Macaca mulatta: one gene and its partners. The protein of the gene in region 3 interacts with the protein of the main gene of each other region in a pairwise test. Links are inferred from orthologs where the notes say so. Each region holds a gene or a part of one and is shown on either strand. Other genes may lie near its edges. The genes, in order: LSM3, PRTFDC1, TCL1A, TXLNA and CADPS.

Region 1 (4,311 bases), on a different chromosome or scaffold from region 3:
GTGGGGGTGGGAAGGAATCTGATTTCAAGGTAACTTGATAAATTTACTCACATGTAATCTGCCTCGAAGCTCTCGGTCATTTCTCATCTTCACATAAATTCGCTCATCTAGGCTGAGCCTGATAAGATCCAGGGGCTCCTCTACAGTGTTGGTAGTTTGTTGCTGATAACAGAAACAGGTTTAGTAATATAGTACTAGAGATAAAGTAGTGCTTAAATCACTGCTATGCTGTATGACCATGTGCAAGTTATTTAACCTTTTTCTGCCTCAGTCTCCTAATCTGTAAAATGGAGATAATAGTGTCTACCTAATACTGTTTTTATGAGGCTTAAGTGACATATATGAAGGCTTAGAACAGAACTTTTCACATAGTATGTGCTATATAAATGTAGATTAAAACACGCATACATAAGAAGGAGTTACACAGCAAAATAATCATGACTATACTTTGTTCCCTCAAAATCCAAACTGCCTGACCCGATTTCAGGGTATAGGGTCTTAGGAACTTTAGCTTTATCTCAAATATTATGTAATCATAGGAAAAACACTCACTTAATGCCTACCATATACTAGTCAGAATGCCAAGTAGAGGTGTAGGTTTATGGGAAGATTATGAATTCAGCACAGGTTGAGGTTAGGCTGCCAACTGGCCAGTAAGATGAATATTTAGTAGCCAGAATAGAACACTGGTTCAAAGCACTGGCTTAGCCGGGCATGGTGGCATGTGCCTGTAGTCCCAGCTACTCCGAGGCTGAGGTGGGAGGATTGCCTGAGCCTGGGAGGTGGAGGTTGCAGTGAGCCAAGATGGTGCCAACAAGCAAGCAAGCACTGACTTTGGAGTCAGGCAGTCTGGGTTCAACTCCTGGCTGTGACCTGACACTTATGAACTGAGATTAAAAATCATGCCATCTGTAATTCTCAGATTCTTCATTTGTAATTGAGAAAGCCACAACCTTCCTTCTGGATTCTTATGAGGATGAAACTAGTTAATGCATTTAAAACAGTGCCAGGAAAGCAGAAAATATTAATACTTAGAAACGGTTCCTTTTGGCTGGGCGTGGTGGCTCAGGCCTGAATTCCAGCACTTTGGGAGGCTGAGAAAGGCAGATCACCTGAGGTTAGGAGTTTGAGACCAGCCTGGCCAACATGGTGAACCCCGTCTCTACTAAAAATACAAAAATTAGCCAGGCGTGCTGGCACGTGCCTGTAGTCCCAGCTACTTGGGAGGCTGAGACAGGAGAATCGCTTGAACCAGGAGGCAGAGGTTGCAGTGAACTGAGATCACGCCACTGCACTCCAGCCTGGGCGATAGAGTGAGACTCCATCCAAAAAAAAAAAAAGAAAAGAAAAGATTCCTACTAATATTATATTATTAAAGAACTGCTGGAAACACTGGTTTTAGAGGTCAGGGCTAGGATGACTTGGGGTCACCCACATGGAAGGGAGGGTTGCAGCCATTAAAGAGTTAGATGATTCAAGGAGAGCTTCTTTAGTAAGTACACAAGGCCAGTGGAGGAAGGTAACTGAATTCGTAACAGGCGCTAAAGATTCAAAAGGCCCGATGAGAGAAAAAAAAATAACCTAACTCAACTGGTCCCTATGTCCCTCAGTTCAACAGGTGTTTGTTAAAGGATCAGATAACCAACTGTTAGATTACAATGATACAGAAGTCACAATCTCCACCCTCAAGGAGCTCATTCTAATGTGGATAGGCATATGAATAATTATAATACTGTAAGAATATGCACATGACAGAGCTCTACTGCTACCTAAGCCTCTGTCTGGGATGCCCACTTTCTGTTCTTTTTCATCCTGTAGCTTTATACATTGGCTTTTAAAAGAGGCCTCCTCTGATCATCTAACTCATTCACTCAAATATTTGTTGAGTATTTCCAGCACTGTTCTAAACCCCAAGGACAAAAGAATGAACAAAACAAAATGCCTACTGTTATGGCACTTACATTCTAGTCAGGAGAGATACACATTAAACAAAGATGCATACATTTAATATGAAAAAATAACGTTCTATGAAGAAAAATGAGGCAGGGTAAGCAGAGTAGGGGGAGTGCTATTTGGGCAGAAGTCCTCTCTGAGGAGGTGAGATTTCAGTAGAAAGTTTAAGTTGTAGCATGATCTCCAAAGATATTTGAGGAAGAAAAAGACCAGGTGAAAAAGCTTCTAGGACCATCTGTTATTCTGCATACCAGTTCCTTGTTTCCTTCATAGCACATCACAGTTCCTATAAATCTTACATATTTATATTTATCTGTTCTCCTCGCGAATATAAGCTCCAAGTCATGGCAAGGATCACTTATATATCGATGTCAGTGTCCCTGGCTCTTAGAACAGTGTCTAACCATACAAAGCTGATGTTCACTCTCTCTGCTGAATGAGTAAATAATTGTTGTGCTCAGTAATAACAACTCCTAACTTTATTATCTGGCTTTCTATTGGAATCCTGACAGCTCCGTGAGGTAGGCACGCATAATAATTTACAGATTTAAAAAAACAAAGCGAAGAGTGTGATGAATAGTCATCAGGTGGCCTTCTAACGGAAAAGACCTCAGGGCCTGCAGCAAAATTCGGACAGGGGTGTTTACGGAAAGGATGGGGCGGATTAGGCCGTGTGACTTGGAAAGAAGAGGCGCGACTGGCCATTTTTCCTGCGTTTGGAAAAAGCAGTTTAGTACAAGAAGCGGCGCCGAGCCACCGCCTTAAAATTCACTCACCTGGTCTACGTCGTCCGCCATGTTTCAAACCCTGCGCCCTTTCCCGCCTCTCGCGAGAACACAAGAGCAACGCCGAGCTCCGGAAACGTGATGCTACAATACACCGGAAATAGAAACCTGCTGTGCTCTTGCCTGCTTCCCGCGGTTTTTTAGTGGCCACGGGTATGGGGCGGAGCTTCCTTTGGGGGCGTGACTAGGCCTCCAACGAAGGGGCGTGGCCAGACGCGCCCGCCTCGGGGCGGGGCCTGCGTTCTAACGCATCGCGGCCTGGTGCGTCACTCGCGAAGTGGATTTTTCCCCGACAAGCAATATGGCTCGGAAGCGCGCGGCCGGCGGGGAGCCGCGGGGACGCGAAACGCGCAGCCAGAAGTCCAAGGCCAAGAGCAAGACCCGGCGTGAGGAGGAGGAGGGTGAGAGCGTGGCCCAGCGGGCTTCGCGGGAGACTCTGCCGGTGGGCGGAGGAGGCCCAGAGGCAGGGGCGGCGGGAGTCCAGACGCGGAGGCCGGGAGGAGGTTGCTGCGCGCGTTCCGCGCAGTGGGGGCAGCACGGCAGGCCGCGGCCGGCCCTCCCCGCTGTCCCTGCGCCTTTGTCCTCTGCACCCAGAGCGGCTTCCCGTGAGCCTCGCCCGACCCAAGCTCCTGCGTAGCTTCTTTCCCGCTCCCCGTTGTCCAGAGGATACAGCGCAGATGTTCAGGGTTGAACGCGGAGAAGGCAGTTATTTGTGTCCCAGGAAAACGGACGGACGGACCAGGACGTAGAGTGATGCAGTGTGCTGACTCCCGAATGATAACTTCAGCTGAGTCTCGCCCAGAGTTCCACAGTGGGATCCCACCTGACTTCCCCTCGTGGATATTGGATAGGCTTCTTACATTTGTCGTGGACAGTGCAGAGCTCATGGTCTTCCCCTTCAAATCTATGCTTTCCTCCGTTTTTCCAGTCCCAATACTTGTTATAAAACAAAGTCCACCTTTTTCTTATGTGCACACATCCAGTCCCGTCAGCAAGTCCAGTCAGTTCAGCCTCAGACTGTATTTCAAATTTGTCCACTTCTCTTCATTTCCATGGCCACAACCCCTGTCCAAGTCACCATCACCTTTCAGTTGAGTGACTGCAGTTTCCTCTTGACTGGCCTCCCAGCTCTGCATCCAGCAACGCAAATAATCTTTAAAAAAAAAAAAAAAAATCATGCCATGCTCCTGCTTTAAACTCTCCTTGGTTTTCCATTGCTCTTAGTTTAAAATCCAGTTGTCTTATCCTGGCCTGCAAGATGCTACGTGTTTTGGCTCTTGCTACCTCTCCTGTTTCTCCTACCACTTGTTTCCTTGCCAGATACCCTCCTCATTGGCCTCCTTTCTCTTCCTCAAATATGCCAAGTTATTTCTTGAGCCTTTTCCTTTGATATTCCTTCGGCCTAGAGTGACCCCCCACCATGGCTTTTGCCAGGTATGATTTCTTCAAATCTCAAGTCAGACATTCCTTGAGCAAACTAAGGTAGTCCTTCCCAGATACCCCGTGGATACTAAAACCTGTGATGCTCAAGTACCTTGTATCAAATGGCCTAGTGTTTCCATGTAACCTATGC
Region 2 (4,002 bases), on a different chromosome or scaffold from region 3:
GTTGCCCAGGCTGGAGTGCAATGGTACAGTCTCAGCTTGCTGCAACCTCCACCTCCCGGGTTCAGGCAATTCTCCTGCTTCAGCCTCCCGAGTAGCTGTGGTTACAGGCATGTACTACCATGCCCAGCTAATTTTGTATTTTTAGTAGCAGCTAGGTTTCACAATGTTGGTCAGGATTTTATTGAACTCCTGACCTCAGGTGATCTACCCACCTTGGCCTTCCAAAGTGCTGGGATTACAGGTATGAGCCACCTCACCTGGCCCTCTATTCTCTTTATACCCCTCTTACTACCTCTTTGCATTTTTCAAAAAATTACCTTGCTTCCAGGAGGACCTCTGTTGACACCAATAGACTGGGCTATTTACAATGTTCTCTCACTTGTTTCTTAGACTTCAACAATTTACCTACTCTATCAGTGCATCTAGATCCACCTTATTCTTTTCTAAAAGTATCTAGTATGTTATGGTAGTACAAGTTGAGTACGCCTCACCCAAAATGCTTGGGACCAGATGTGTTTCTAATTACTGATGTTTTTTTTTTTTTCTTTGGATTTTGGAATATTTGCATTTACTTCCTGGTTGAGCATCCCTAATCTGAAAATCCGAAATCCAAAATGCTCCAGCCAGTATTTCCTTTCAGCATCATGTTGGCGCACAGAAAGTGTCAGATTTGGGGGCATTTTGGATTTTGGATTTTTGGATTAGGGATGCTCAACTTGTACTATATTTTAACTGTTCTACCAATGGAGTGGTTGTTTAAAAGATTCTCCCTACTAATGACTTTGTAATTGTTAAATACAGTGGCTGTTTTCCATCTTGGTATCCAACTTGCTGTCCCTGTAGCATCTGACACTTCTGATGACCTCTTGACACCGCCCCTCCCGCTCAACAATGCTCTGTTCCCAAGGCACCCACCACCCTGCCTGCCCTCCCACCCTTCAGCGTTCTTTCTCGGTTCCTTCAACCAGCTTCTCCCCCACAGGCAGCCTCCTACATTTGGGACTTTCCAGGCTTCCATCCTTAACAGTTGCTTTAATTGTTTTTTCCACATTCACTGAGCATTCCTGAACATTAAATATTATTCTTTCTGCTGATTTCCAAATCTCTCCAATCGCTCTCCTGAATTCCAAATGTGAATTTCACAAATTGCCTACAGTGCAGCCCGATCTGTGGGCCTTACAGGCACTGCAGACTCAATTTGTCCACAATGAACTTAGTGATTGCCCTTTTTGCGTTTTAGTCTCCCTCCCATCCATCACACCGCTAGGCTTGCCCCTCCTCCTGGGGCAACTGGAATGGTTTTTATAAAAGCATAAATCGGATACAATGATTCTTTTGCATTTGATATGCGGGTCTCCGCCTGCAGTCCACATGGCTACTCCTGTGTACCCTTCAGATCTTAGTTCAAAGGTCACCGCGGAGAGGCTGCCCTGACCACCTGAGCAAAAGCATCACTCCCCGCTTCTCCTCCAATTACCCTCTATCCTGTTACCCTCCTCCTATTGCACATCTCTACTGGAAATTTTCTCTATTTGTTTACACACTGCTTGCCTGTGTCTTCTCTAGAACGCAAGCTCATGAAGACAAGGCCTTTGTCTTTTGCACCCCAGCGCCTACAACACCTTCTGCAACCCAGCAGGACAATCAACTTGTGGAATGAATAAATAAATCAACACCTCATCCTTTAAGAAGGAAAGGGCCTGCTGTTAAATTAAGCACTGAGCCCCACATTTCAACCTGACCGGTTCTGTCTGAGTGTGTCACCTTTCCCTCCCCAGCCCACTTACTTTAGTTCAGGCCATTCATATTCATAAACAGATTATCTGTGAACGACAAGCTGATCCCTGGAAAGAGATGGCAAGTTAGCTCCACCCACCATCCTCACCACCATTGAGTTTCACATTGAACTTGACACAAGTTATAACCACCACCTTCTAGGAAAACCACTTCTCAGGGAGCAGGGAGGACGCGGCCACAAGGTCAAGAACGGATTAGATCCTAGCACACTGACCCTCTGGCTGACACCAACAGGAGTCTCAGTTCTGGGAAACCAGCATCCCACACCCTCCCATCCGGACACACTGCTAGATATTTTACATGCATCCTCCCAATTCGCTCCGGAGCCCAGCCTGCTGTTGCTCCCTTTTACAGACAAACCATAGGTCCCGCAGGAGCGTGTCCCAGAGCTCCTGCAGAGGCCTCCACTGCCAGAGAGCCCCCCAACCTGGGTACCAAAGGCTTCAGAGCTCAAGTTCTGTCAACTTGAGCTACTTTATTTCCTGGCTGCCTTCAAAACCCCTCAGTGTCCTTTTTAAAAACAAAACTTGAAGCCCGCTCTGGAAGAGGAGGCCCAGGAAGAAGGAGGCCTACAGAGCAGCACGCGGGTGTCTCGGCCCGGCCGGCTCCCAGAAGCTGCTCCCCGTGGCTCGCTGGGATGGGGACGGCTGGGCGCCGGCGGGACGCTGCAGGAGCGGGCTACCGGCCGGAGGACGCGGGGGGACGCTGGGAACTCGGGGTGAAGGGACGGGACTCGGCGTTTCCTCAGATTGGGGGCGGGGAGAGGAGGCCAGGGTCTGAGGATGGAAGCGATCCCCGCCAGGAGGGAGAACAAAGCGGTGGCCCGCTTTCTCTCCCGACGCACGGCAGGCATTTAATCTACAAGCAGGGTGCCAGGGAGGAAGGGGAGCGGGGCGAGCCCCAAAATCGGGAGTTTGCATTTACCACGACGCCTCGCCCGTAGTCTGGCGCCTCCTCGCTGCTCCCGGCCATGTTTCTCCCGGGGAACGCGGGAAGGGAAGACGGCGCGGGAAGGAGCTGGGAGGGCGAAGGTTGCGTGGGGGAAGGGACTTGGGGATGGGGACCCGGCCGCCCCGCCCCGCCCCGGGCCCGCCGGCTGGAAGCAGCGGCCTGGCGCGGATCCAGGGCCCCGGCGCGGCGCCCCCTCCCCTGGCGAGGCCGCGGGGGCGCGGGGAGCAGCTGCCAAGCCGCGACCGCTCCCCGTGAGCGCGGGCCCCGGGCGCGTCCCTCGCGGCCACCGCTGTCGCCGCCGCCGCCTGCCGGATGGTCGCCTGCAGCCCCCGGCCTCGCCGCCAGGCCCCGCGGGGACTCGGGAGCACGAGGCAGCCCGCGGCAGGAAGAGAACGTGTCCCCCAGGCCCCTGCTTCCCAGATCCACCGTCCTAGCCCTCGGGCTAACAATCTCCTTGGCTCTTCCCTGCCAGATTTCATGCACGCGATTGTCCCAAGCAGAAGCGTGAAAGAGCCTGCGAGCCGGCGTGCTCTTGGAGGATGGGCAAGTGTCCTGGATGTGTTTTCAAACCCTGGAGCCGCCACCCACCTCTCTCCACCTCCCCTCACCTCCCTCCACTTCCCCTCACTTCCCTCCACCTCCTCTCACCTCCCTCCACCTTCCTCCGCCTTTCTCTGCCTTCCCCCCATCTTCCTCATCCCAGGGCCTGGAGCTGGAAAGATTACACCCGATTGCTTTTAGGGTGGCCCAGATCTGCAGGGATCAGATCTGGGCTTTCAGGATCCGGCCTTTCAGCCTTTGGTCAACTGCATTCAGGGGAGGAGGGGGAGAGATTTTTTCACATTCTCTGCTTTACCAGTTTTGCAAGAACATCTGGTCAGATTGTAATTGTTCCAGGTTGCAGCTTTATTAAAGCAGTCACTCTCTTCTGATTAGAAATCCTTCTCGTATGAGTCTGTTGTTCATTTCAACCCCTCTCACATCCCTGTGCTCCAGTTCTTTGTCCACTCCTGCAGGGTCCTGCTTTTTCTGGGTGTGTCTTCAGTCCCCAGGTCCCTGACATCTCATCAGCATCTTCATTCACTCAACCCAATTCAGGTTGAAGGCCTGAATCCAAGAGAACTGAACACAGTTTTCCTGATGCAGGCCTCTTTTGTTCATCTTCGGATTCTGGCACACAGAGGGGAGAGGAATGCTGATTTTGCCTAGTTTAAAGGGAAAATAGTTATCAATCGGTTAATGACGTTCTAGATT
Region 3 (3,958 bases):
CTTGGAAGGCTGAGGCGGGAGAATGGTATGAACCCAGGAGGCAGAGCTTACAGTGAGCTGAGATTGCACCTCTGTACTCTAGCCTGGGCGACAGAGCGAGACTCAAAACAAAAAAAAACAAAAGGCAATGGGAACTGAAGTACTCGCTGAAACGTGAAGTTGTGAAGTACTGTGTAGATATGAGCAGCTGCGATAAAGGGGGCTCCCAAAGTGGTAAGGGAGAGACATGGGTGCCTCCAGGAAGACTCTCCCATCCCTGGGAGGCCTGAGATGGCAGCAGTCGGGGAGGGGTTAGCACTGCCTTCATGGAGAACGGGTGGTCTTTCCTTCTGGTACAGCCACTGTGGACTAAGAGGGGTCAAGCCCTGGTCAGTGGAGCTCACCGTGCCACACTCAGTCATCTGGCAGCAGCTCGAGAAGCATGTCCTCCACGCCGTCAATCTGAGAGGCAGACAGAGAAGGCATTGATCGGCCAGAGCCCTCCACTCCCTCCATTCCTCACTCCTGCGCCTTCCCCTAGCTGGAAACAGCAGGTAGGAACCCAAGTGTGAATTTCAGGGGCTCTCGGAGACTGCTCCTCCTCCCACCAGCCTTCAGCCTGTGGCTGCCCACGGGAGATGTCTTCCTGCGGCCAGCTGGGGGGCTGGGAGGAAGGGGAGGTAGGGTTCTGTTAGATACCTCAGAGGATCTATCTTCTCTCTGGGAAAGTCCTTTAGAAATCCTCAGTTGTCCATTCCCCCCAATTTTTGATGCTTTTGGGACTGGGATGGAGGGAAGATAAACCACTAAGGCCAGACACGGAGGAGGGGAAACCCAAGATCACCCGATGGATCCCTGGGAGAAGCACACTCGCCTTGATGTGGTACACTAAGCGCCAGAAACTGGAGTCTGAGGATCGGTATCGTCCATCAGGGTAGAGCTGCCACAAGATAGGCAGCAAGCTTGGGCCTATCTGGGTGGGGGTCATAGGATTCCCCAGGATGATGTCTTCCTGACGAAAGAGCACCCGTAACCTATCCTCTATCTGAGGAGAAGAAGAGCACAGGGCATACTTTCAGGTTCCGCTTGCCAGGGCTCCTCCAGGCACAGAAAACCAGAGTCCTTCCTGCCAGCCACCCACCCATTTGGGCAGGGGTCCGAGTATGAAATGACGGTCATCACTGTTCCCTGAAGCTCACTTCCTTAGGCCATGCATGCTCCTCTCAGGGACTCTGGCTGGGCCAGGATCACCAGCACGCACATGTGTCTAGCCACCCAGACAGGGCCATGAAAGGCACACTTTTTTTCTGGCGGGTTGCAGTGGCTCACACTTGTAATTCCTGTGCTTCGGAAGGCCGAGGCAGGAGGATCGCTTGAGGCCAGGAGTTTAATCAGCCTGAATGACGGAGCGAGACCCTGTCTCTACGGAAAAAAAAAAAAAAAAAAAAAAAAAAAGACAAAGAAAGAAGAAAGGAAAAGAATACTGGCCTTTTCAATGATGTGAGGCAAAATCTGTCCCACAGTTTGCTAGTGGGTTTTTGTGTGGCATTTATCATGATTATATGAAAAACTGTCTGGTTTATGATTCTGGTGTCACGTTGAAGAGATTTCTCAACCAGAGATTTAAAAAAAGAAATTCACCGAATATTCAGATTATTTCTTCAAATTTTGATTTTAAAAAAGTAAATGTTTAACTTGATTATTAAAGTAAAAACATATTTAAAAAATTGAAGTGCCAATAAAAATGCAAATTTTGGTGGTGGTTAACAGCCTAGAATTCCAACCCCATTACCTACTAGCAGCCCTACCTTGGACAAATGTACATTTTTGTGCCTCAGTTTCTCATCTGTAGAGACACAGTTAACACTCAATAATTTTTGATTGTTTGCTACTGGACATACATGTTCTAATTTGTTTTAATTTTTTATGCTTTCTTCAGTCTATGTTTGGAAAGAGTTTGAACATTTTTTGACTCTTTTTCATCGAGTAAATCCAAATACTTGTAAAAGAGTTATATATTTGTTTAACAAAAACTTAACATGGACTAAGGACCCATCTTAAGGCATCACACATAAAACAAAGTCAATATTGATTCAATACCGGCGCTTATACTACGACATCACTTGTTAAATTTGTTTTCTAAATAAAGCACAGAGGTCATGGAAAATACTTCACACTCTAGGGCAGTGGTTGCTATGCCTGGTTGACGTGTTCTTTTGAGCTGTTGAGGGTTCTTTTTAAAATACAGATTTCTGGGACCCACCTAAGATGATTCCGATAATCGGCCGTATGGATGAGTCACTTAGAGATACCCATTTTTAAGGATTAGGACCCCGAAGCCCAGAAAAGCCCTACTGTAGTCAACATATAGTCACACTCCACAGGCACTGGGTCCCCTCCTTTGGCCGACATTTCTTTGCGGTTTTCCCACCCTTTTTCCCTGCCTGGAGAACTCCTATTCATCCTCCAGAGCCCGGCTCAAAGTGGCTTCATCTGTGGGGATCCTCCCTGCCCCACAGTGGGTGCTTCTCAAGGCCTCACCCTTCCTAGGGCATCTCAAACTCCCGGGGGCTGCCCCTGCTGCCTCGCCATCCGCTCCAGAGCTGGCTGTACCTCAATGGTTAAGGGCAGCCAGGCGCGCTGCTTCTCGTCCAAATATACGAACTTGTCCCAGGCCCACAGGCGGTCCGGGTGGTCGGTGACTTCCTCCCCACGTAACGGGCACTCGGCCATGGCACCCTCGGGCCGCCTAAGAAGCAAGAGCCAGAGCCTCTCCAGGCTGCTCGCTGGTCCCTGGGATGTGGGGCCGACGCTTTATATCCGGGCAGCATGCGGCCGCCACCAAGCGGCGGGGCGGGAGGACGGCCTTGGGGCGGGACCCTGGGTCGGGAGGACGACCTGGGGGCGGGGCGTAAGGCAGGATGGGGCGGGGTTTGTGGGGGTCCCGGTGGCAAGCGAGGGTCCCACGCAGGCGCTACGTCCCGGCCTGACTGGCTCCCTGGAACGGTGGCAGCGCCTGGGAACGGAGACCCAGCCCTGGCTGACCCGCGGCTTCCTCGAGGCCCCGGCCAGCAGCGACCCCGACCGCCGCCCTCCGCTGCTGCTGGAGAGTCACCCGGGGTGACCTTGGCCCTTTCTTCTTCTGGGAGACCCCGCCGCTTCCCTCGGCTGCCGGACCGGGACTATGGGCCTCTGCTGGGAACTCACAGTCGACGCTAGGATGCCCAGAGCCGGGACCCAGTCCTCATCTTCTGGGATCAGAAGAGACCCACGCGGGCCTGAGTTAGGCCTGGGCTTTCCCGGGTTCCCTGGATCTCCTCCAGCTTGTGCCTTTGAGTGTCAGGGTCCATTTCTTGGCAAAGAACAACTCCTGACGCTCCGTCTTCCATACACAAAGCATGCGTTTTCCGCAGGTCTGATGATGCTGTGGACATCTAATAGCTATTACAAAACGGAGAAACATGGGTTTTTCCCCTTGGGCTTTGAATTTACTAGTGAAAGCATAGTTCAAAATGAATACTTAAAAAGAAACCCCTCCTTCCACCCTAAGATCAATGGATTTGAAAAGTCCTTGGTTTATATTATCAAAACCATCCCTCTGTAAATTACAAGCAATAAGGAAAACAATTTCACTTTATTTTGCAGTAACACATTCCCACTAAGGCAATTAAGAAAGTCATGCACAATGAAAAACATGTGAAACCAGCTCCAACCTGGTTCAAACATCACCATGGAACGGAGTTTGGTGTCTCACCTTCTAGCTCTTTCCTGGTTCTCTGACCAGGCACTAAGAAAATAATTTGTGATCCTTTGAAATATCACAAAAGTGGAAATTAAGAGATCTGATGAGGACATCTGATTCACTTGACAGCTGGATATCTGCCTCTTTGCCTATCCAGACAGCCTAATTCCCAAGAAGGAGCTGAGGTGGCCTAAGGTAGTCGAGATATAACGGGATTTACCAGGAATACAACATAGA
Region 4 (3,512 bases), on a different chromosome or scaffold from region 3:
CTCTGAAGGGCAAGGAGGGGTCTGAGCCTCAAGTCAGGCAGAGAAATGCTCAAGTCACTTGTCCTGCCAACTCACTGTGATGGCAGCTACAGATGACAGCCCCTCTCAAGACTCTTCAGCTGACAGAGGAGCCACTGACTTCATCTGTACACACCCCTATCCCCAATGCAAGCCCACTGTACACTTATAGGTATAAATGCATTAGGCCTTGCAATATGCCATATGTACGTAAAACTGACCCACAAAATCCAAAATTGCAAGTGTCAGATGCCAGCCAGGTCAGAACATCCTGGCTTCAGCAATGGGCTGCTCAGCATGGGAGCTTTTTATGGGCCAGGCCTGGCTGGGCTGCTGCTCCCTTCCCAGCATGCCCCAGCACCAGGCTCTCTAGGCTCTGGCAGAGGTGGGCTCTTGAGGCCCAGTCTGGCCTGATGCTTCTGTGCTCGGTGCTCCTGGGTAGCAAGGTGCTTCTGTGACCCTGGGGGAGCTGGGTGCTTGAGCCCCAGGCCCCTCTGGCCTCCTTTCAGGGCCACTGTCAGTGAGGGAGCCCTGGCCACCAGCACTCAGGTCCTGTACCCTCTTGTTCAGGTCATTGCGCTCTGTCTGCAGCGCCCGGCACAGCTTCTCCAGCCGTTGGATTTTTACCTGCAGGCCCTCCAGTTCTTTATCCCGGACTGTTTTCTAGGGAGAGAAATGAGACCTTCAGTGCCATGCCCCATCAACCTCCCACTTACCATCACTACTTGGTGACAAACACTTTTAACAAGGCTGGGAGCAGACTGAGTCCGAAGCTGGCCCCCTCTAGGAAACAGTCCTGGTTGAAGCCATGACTAGACTGTCAGGTGGGGCAGTGTGGTGCAGAAAAGGGGCTCGGCTTGGACATAACATATTCCTCCATTTATCTACCACATGACCTTGGCAAAGGACTTGGCTTTTGAGCCTGTCTCATCTGTAAAACAGGACTACTAATACCATCCTCGGATCTCAAGAGAAGGTTCAATGAACCACGTACCTAAAAACATTCAGCAGCAAAAAAAAAAAAAGACAAACCCAAAAACATTCAGCAAGGTCTGGCTTGTCGTTGCTGCTCCATCAGTGTTAGTTCCTTTCTTCTACATTAGAAGCCATGAAATCACAAATTACCTGGGCTGCTTTACATGTAAACCAGGCACATCACTGGCACCCCTGTTTTTTCTGCTCTTTTATTCCTTTCTTCCATTTGCTCCCTTCACTCCCACTGGAGACCTACCACTGGGCTCACCATCTCCCATGGGGAGAGAACAGCATTAACTTTGGACTTGGACAATGTGTGCAAATCTCACCTCTACCTCATGCTAGCTGTGTCACTGATGGGTAGAACACACAGGAAAGGGCCTGATATGCGCTAAGTGCACACCCCCACCCTGGCTGCAGATCACAGACAGCCCACCTCCTCAGCCATCTCAAGGAGGGCCTTGTTGCTGCTCTCCCACCGGGACCGGTACATCGTGGTTTCTTTCTCCAGCTTCTTGATCTTCTTAGTCATCTAGGTTATGTGACAGACAGAAGGAAATGGTCAGAGCCGGCCTCTCTGTGCACCTGTGTCTCCAAGGTGGGGACTGACTGATTACAGGGTGCAGTCAATGCCCTCTGTGCCACCTTACCACCAGAAGTCACAAGTGTCCACCACTAACAACAAGAAATGGTAAGGGGCCAGAATCCCAGCACTTTGGGAGGCCAGGGTGGGTGGATCACTTGAGGCCAAGAGTTCAAGACCACCCTGGCCAACATGGTGAAACCCTGTCTCTACTAAAAATACCAAAAAAAAAAAAAAAAAAAAAAAAAAAAAAGGCCAGGCATGGTGGCACGTGCCTGTAATTCCAGCTACTCAGGAGGCTGAGGCAGGAGAATCACTTTAACACGGGGCACAAAGGCTGCAATGAGCTGAGATCGTGCCACTGCACTCCAGCCAGTGAAACAGGGCGAGACTCCATCTCAAAACAAACAAACAAACAAAAGAAATGGCTGCCCCATTCCCCGGGACAACCTGGAGGGTATACACACCACTGATACTGCCTCGAGAGGGGAAAGGCTGTGAACTCTCCTAACAGCCCCACCCTTGAGACACCCCAGATGGGAGCTTCCTGAAGGCAGGCCCAACCATTTTGAATGAAGCAGCTTATGCTCCAGGAGCCATGCGTGGCCTGGACCACAGTTACCTTTTCCATCTCCTGCTTGAATGTGGTGAACACCTCGCTGCTTTTGGAAAGTGTGTTCTGGAACTCCTCAAACTTCTCTGTGTATAAGGCAAGCTGGGGGAGAAAGCAGCCCACAGATAAGATTGGGTTTCTCTGGGAGGCACTCTGGTCAACACACTCAGACCTGTCCTTGACCCTCTGACCCAGTAATTCTATTGAGATACTATTTTTCCTTAAAACAAAGCAAAGCTATGTATTTGGAAGGATATAATCCAAAATGCTAAGCCTGGAAAGTAGGAGACTTAGGGTGACTTTTATTTTGCCTTTATGTTGATTTTCAAACTCTTTTGTTCCCACCTCCTCAAAAGCAATACAACATTTCTGAGCTACAAATGAAATCCTCTGAGCCCACCTAACTACCTGGTCACCACCATATAGGTACTGTGCAGGTCCAGAGAGAACAAAGGCTCAACCAAGGTCTCATAGCAGCCAGGACACAGCCAGTCCTAGAATGAGGGTCCCATTTCACTACCCCCAGGATGGGGCCCAGTGAGGGGACCTTGAAGGCACAGGGTCAGGTTATATGCTCTCACCTGTTGCTTCAGGTGGGTCTCTTGCTGCTTCATCAGCTCACACATCCTCTGGGACTCTACTGCCTCTTTCAGGAGCTATTTCCAAGACAGAACCCCAGATCCTGTCAGAAGCCCCCAGGGGCTATGTTTGGTTTTTAGCCACAAGCACCAAACCCACCAAGGTTTCCTGCTCTCAGACTGATACTCAAGGAATCTGTGCCTGGTCTGGCCAGACAACTTCTCCCATATAACCCGGCTATGAACTGAGCCACAGCCCAACCTGCCTCCTCCCACACCCCCATCCCAACCCTTGGGCCTAAGCCTCACAAAATCCTTCTCCCGTTGGTGCCGCTCTTCTGCCTCCTTTAGCATCTCCTGGGCCTGCTGGAGCTTGGCATCCACCAGCTGCTGTTGTAGGTCCTTGTGTTTGAAGACTTTGTCGATATGCTGCAGCAAAGATGGTGGGAGCCGTCAGCTTGTCAGGAGCTCCTTTTCTCAGGGTGGCCCCACAGCCAAAGACCAGGGCACTTTGCCCAGCCCCCCATCTCAATCTGATATGCTGGACTCCCATGTGTACCACACAACATGGGCCCCAAGTCTCTGGAAGGTCATCTTTCCAAGCTCACCTCGTTTCTCTCCCAGTGAGTCAGACTTTGGTAAGTACATGGTTTATGGATGGAATCTGCTCCCAAGAAGCCAAGCAATAAACACACTCAAATCTCTGACCCCAGGATTGATCACCTATGGGGTTGGAAGCCCTCAC
Region 5 (3,512 bases), on a different chromosome or scaffold from region 3:
ATCTTTGAATGTGATGCATGTGTTGTATTATGAAATGCTAAACAGACTCTTACTAAAGCATCCAGAAAATTCTAGGTGATATATCATAGTTGATAAGACCCTACCTACTAGTTAAAATAATTTTCCATTATCCATTTATTAATTCAATAAACATTTACTGAGCATTCACTATGTGTCAAGATTTTATACACTGGGAATATTAGCAAACAAGGCAAAGATGAATCTCTCTGATAATTCTTTGAAGGCGAAGGGCAACATAATTACCAGGAAGGAAGGCCCTTGTTTAAAATGCAGATTCCTGGGCCATGCTCTGAGGCTGCAGAATGAGAATCTCTAGGGCTAGGGGCTGGGAATGTGCTCCTAAGAGACACCCAGTAAGAATTCCAGACTGCAAAATAGGCACATAATAAATATTTATTGAATAAATGAATATAATGCTAAGATTAGGTAGGATATCAAGATACGAGATACCTCGCTTTCCCGGTCCTCTATCTAGAGGAAATACAGGCCCATTTTGGGGTGGACCCAAGCAGAGCCTCAGCTCTCACTATCAGAACCACTCAGAAATTCATGATGTGACTAATATACAGGTATTAGGCCTTGTGCAAATTTCCCATTTTAAAAAATTTCTCTTGACAGGCAGGTGCTAAGTTCAGTTGTCTTCCCACCTGAGGAAGCACAAGCCCTTCCACTGGCAAACACCAAAGGCAAAACCATATTTTTTTTTAAATTGATTTTTAGCACTTTTGACACATGGAAACCAGACCTTACTCATAGGGCCAACTTACCCATTAGACACAATGAGCTCAGTGCCTAGGGCCCCTGAGACTTTTAGGAGCTCACAGAATTTTTTTTTTTTTTTTTTTTTTTTAAGAAGAAGAAAAGCATGAATATAATGTAGCCTAAATAGTATTCAACTTTTTACCAGTAGAGTAATAACTTTTAATCCAGTAAAAAAAAAATCAAGAAGCATCTCATAGAAGTCGGAATGCAGCTCTGCTTACCCACAGCTCTGGGCCCAGGTGAGAAACGCCTTACCTGGCAGGCATTGTACAGGAGCTGATGTTCGAACTTCTTGATCCCAAGAATGTTCTGGAACATCTCATAGAGTTGCTCCTTGCTCAGAATCAGCTCGGAGGCTGCGCTGGCTGTCATCCGGGCCTGCTGCTTCCGGGGGTCCTCTTCTCCACGGTAGATGGCATCAAATTTGGCCATCCAGGAGCTCAGCACAGTCTCCTTGCTGAGGCCATCAATCTCGGGCAGGCTGCGCACCCTCTTCTCAATGTGCTTCTTGAAGACCTCCCGGGAGTCGTTGGCAGAACAGCCTCCACTCTGCACCATGCGGGCCACACGGTCGCTCTTCAGGAACACCTAAGCAAGAACAGGGACAGGAAAGACAGTAAGAGAGTTGGCCACAGAGGGACCAGTTTCCTGGGGCTGGACACTGGGCCAGCCCACCTCACGTGCATCCCAGGAGGAACCACTGTGGGTCTCGTCTTGCCCTACCACCTCCTGGCTGTGCAAACTCAAACTAGTTACTTACACATTCTGCTTCTGTGTCCACATCTGTAAGATAAGAATAACACTTGTACCTACCAGGTTGTTGCAAGGGTTAACGAGATGATACTATCATGAGAGGCAGCACATAGCATAGAGACCTCTGCCCAGGCTGCATAGGTCTTGCCCCTTAGTGGCTGTGTGACTTTGGGCAAGTTAACCTCTTTGTACCTCAGTGTTCTCATTTATAAAATGGGGATAATAGTATTTATTTAATGTTCAATTTCCTTTTGAGACAGTCTTGCTCTGTCACCTAGGCTGGAGTACAGTGACATAATCACAGCTCACTGCAACCTCCTCCTCCCAGGCTTAAGTGACCTCCAGCCTCAGCCTTATGATCAGCTGGGACTACAGGTGCATGCCAGCACATCTGGCTAATTTTATTTTATTTTATTTTTGTATTTTTGGTAGAGTCAGGGTTTCACCATGTTGCCCAGGTTGGTCTCAAACTTCTGGGCTCAAGCAACCCATCCACCTCGGCCTCCAAAAGTGCTGGGATTACAGGCGTGAATCAATGCACCCAGCATTTAATTTTTTTTTTTTAAATAGAGGCAGGACTTTGCTCTGTTATCTAAGTCAGACTTCAGTGGTGATCATGATGCACTGCAACCTCAAACTCCTGGGCTCAAGCCATCCTCCTGCTTCAGCCTCCAAGTAGCTGGGACTATAAGTGTGTGCCAGTATGCCTTGACAATTTTTAAAACTTTTTGTAGAAACAGGGTCTTGCTGTGTTGCCCAGGCCAGTATGTATTTTTAAATGAGGATTAAATGTGTTAACATGTAAAACACACACAAAATAGTGCCTGGCCCATATTACACTTGTTGCTGTTATTATTATTATATGTAAATGCCTGGCATGATATCCGGCACATAGCGTTAAACATTAACCACTATTTGTATCTCCTTTTATCCCTTCAATGACACTTTTAATTGGAAGTATACAAGTATCAGGTAAACATATATTTAATTATCTATCTTCCTTCCTTAAATGTAAACTCTACTTGGGCAAGGAATGTGTCCTTGTTCCTTGCAATGTCTTCAGGTCCTAGAATGTCTTCAGCAGTTGACACTTTAAAAGTGAATTAAGGGTGAACATAGGTATTATGTTAAGTTTATTTTGTAGATGAAAAACCGAGACTTCAGAGAGGGGAAGGGACTTTCTTTTGGTAACTCAAATTGTCTAACTACCAATAGATAGTCTTTTTACTTCACCGTGGTTACCTTCCTTCCCGCAGAGTTCTCCTGCTTAATGAAAACCTCTTCCGCCTGGTGGAAAATCCCTGGTTGGTCTGCTGGTGCTGCCTGGTTGAGTCCTGGGACCAAGCTTTCTATTAAGAATGTCTTACTTTCGCTCCACTGCCCACCATTCGGAAGCTTACATGAGCTACACGGTTCTGGGGTGTAATACAAGGCAGTGAAGCCGCCATTTCATATTCACGGAGAGGAAGCATCTGACAGGTTTGAGCTGTGTCCTGGTCACACTTCAGAAGGTGCATAAATATCCTTCAAGAGGCAGAGCAAACGTTCATTCCCCTGTCAGATTTCAGGAAATGCACTTGTTGGCCATGAGACAGCACTGCCTGGGGGCGTCTCATTGCCTCATGCTTCATTGCAAAGCCTTTCTGGGGTGGAGAAATGTTTTTTTAAAAAAGGCTCCAGTTTATTGTTGACTTTAATGAACTAATTTAGAAAGGAGGGCTGAGGGTTTGCCTCACAGGGTAGAGGCCATGGCCTGCCCCCCTGTGAGTGGGAACTGGTACTCAGATGAGACCTTAGAGTTAATTTGAAAATTAATTATAGACAAAAAAGTTTCAAATGAATCCTCAGGCCTTATGAGTCTTAATGAGCTAAATAATTCACCTGAAAACCTGTAACACTTAATGGGGATGGTTTCTCCATCTAACCAACACATTACGGATCTCAAACAACAGCACTTTTAGGCTAGTGGAGGAAGT

Evidence for each region.
Region 1: the proteins of TCL1A (region 3) and LSM3 interact in binary tests that used the Homo sapiens proteins (3 or more experiments, as listed by UniProt). The two-hybrid records come from large-scale screens. The link is inferred for Macaca mulatta from reciprocal best matches to the Homo sapiens genes TCL1A and LSM3.
Region 2: the proteins of TCL1A (region 3) and PRTFDC1 interact in binary tests that used the Homo sapiens proteins (3 or more experiments, as listed by UniProt). The two-hybrid records come from large-scale screens. The link is inferred for Macaca mulatta from reciprocal best matches to the Homo sapiens genes TCL1A and PRTFDC1.
Region 4: the proteins of TCL1A (region 3) and TXLNA interact in binary tests that used the Homo sapiens proteins (3 or more experiments, as listed by UniProt). The two-hybrid records come from large-scale screens. The link is inferred for Macaca mulatta from reciprocal best matches to the Homo sapiens genes TCL1A and TXLNA.
Region 5: the proteins of TCL1A (region 3) and CADPS interact in a two-hybrid assay, tested with the Homo sapiens proteins (3 studies listed by BioGRID and IntAct). The two-hybrid records come from large-scale screens. The link is inferred for Macaca mulatta from reciprocal best matches to the Homo sapiens genes TCL1A and CADPS.

The regions. Positions count from the first base shown.
Region 1 is NC_133407.1:152,980,347-152,984,657, reverse strand, and holds the start of LSM3 (U6 snRNA-associated Sm-like protein LSm3), read right to left. Parts: upstream 2,804-4,311; 5' UTR 2,751-2,803; coding exon 2,730-2,750; intron 163-2,729; coding exon 52-162; intron 1-51. Other genes in the region: XPC (DNA repair protein complementing XP-C cells), read left to right, coding at 3,040-3,139. UniProt on the Homo sapiens protein: Plays a role in pre-mRNA splicing as component of the U4/U6-U5 tri-snRNP complex that is involved in spliceosome assembly, and as component of the precatalytic spliceosome (spliceosome B complex).
Region 2 is NC_133414.1:26,385,813-26,389,814, forward strand, and holds the start of PRTFDC1 (phosphoribosyltransferase domain-containing protein 1), read right to left. Parts: upstream 2,801-4,002; 5' UTR 2,770-2,800; coding exon 2,722-2,769; intron 1,845-2,721; exon of another isoform or gene 1,788-1,844; intron 1-1,787. UniProt on the Homo sapiens protein: Has low, barely detectable phosphoribosyltransferase activity (in vitro). Binds GMP, IMP and alpha-D-5-phosphoribosyl 1-pyrophosphate (PRPP). Is not expected to contribute to purine metabolism or GMP salvage.
Region 3 is NC_133412.1:169,015,137-169,019,094, forward strand, and holds the start of TCL1A (T-cell leukemia/lymphoma protein 1A), read right to left. Parts: upstream 2,812-3,958; 5' UTR 2,713-2,811; coding exon 2,593-2,712; intron 1,025-2,592; coding exon 854-1,024; intron 442-853; coding exon 394-441; 3' UTR 384-393; intron 1-383. UniProt on the Homo sapiens protein: Enhances the phosphorylation and activation of AKT1, AKT2 and AKT3. Promotes nuclear translocation of AKT1. Enhances cell proliferation, stabilizes mitochondrial membrane potential and promotes cell survival.
Region 4 is NC_133406.1:208,688,513-208,692,024, forward strand, and holds part of TXLNA (alpha-taxilin), read right to left. Parts: intron 3,197-3,512; coding exon 3,077-3,196; intron 2,846-3,076; coding exon 2,771-2,845; intron 2,292-2,770; coding exon 2,199-2,291; intron 1,526-2,198; coding exon 1,430-1,525; intron 682-1,429; coding exon 388-681; 3' UTR 1-387. UniProt on the Homo sapiens protein: May be involved in intracellular vesicle traffic and potentially in calcium-dependent exocytosis in neuroendocrine cells.
Region 5 is NC_133407.1:126,339,111-126,342,622, forward strand, and holds part of CADPS (calcium-dependent secretion activator 1), read right to left. Parts: intron 1,372-3,512; coding exon 1,039-1,371; intron 1-1,038.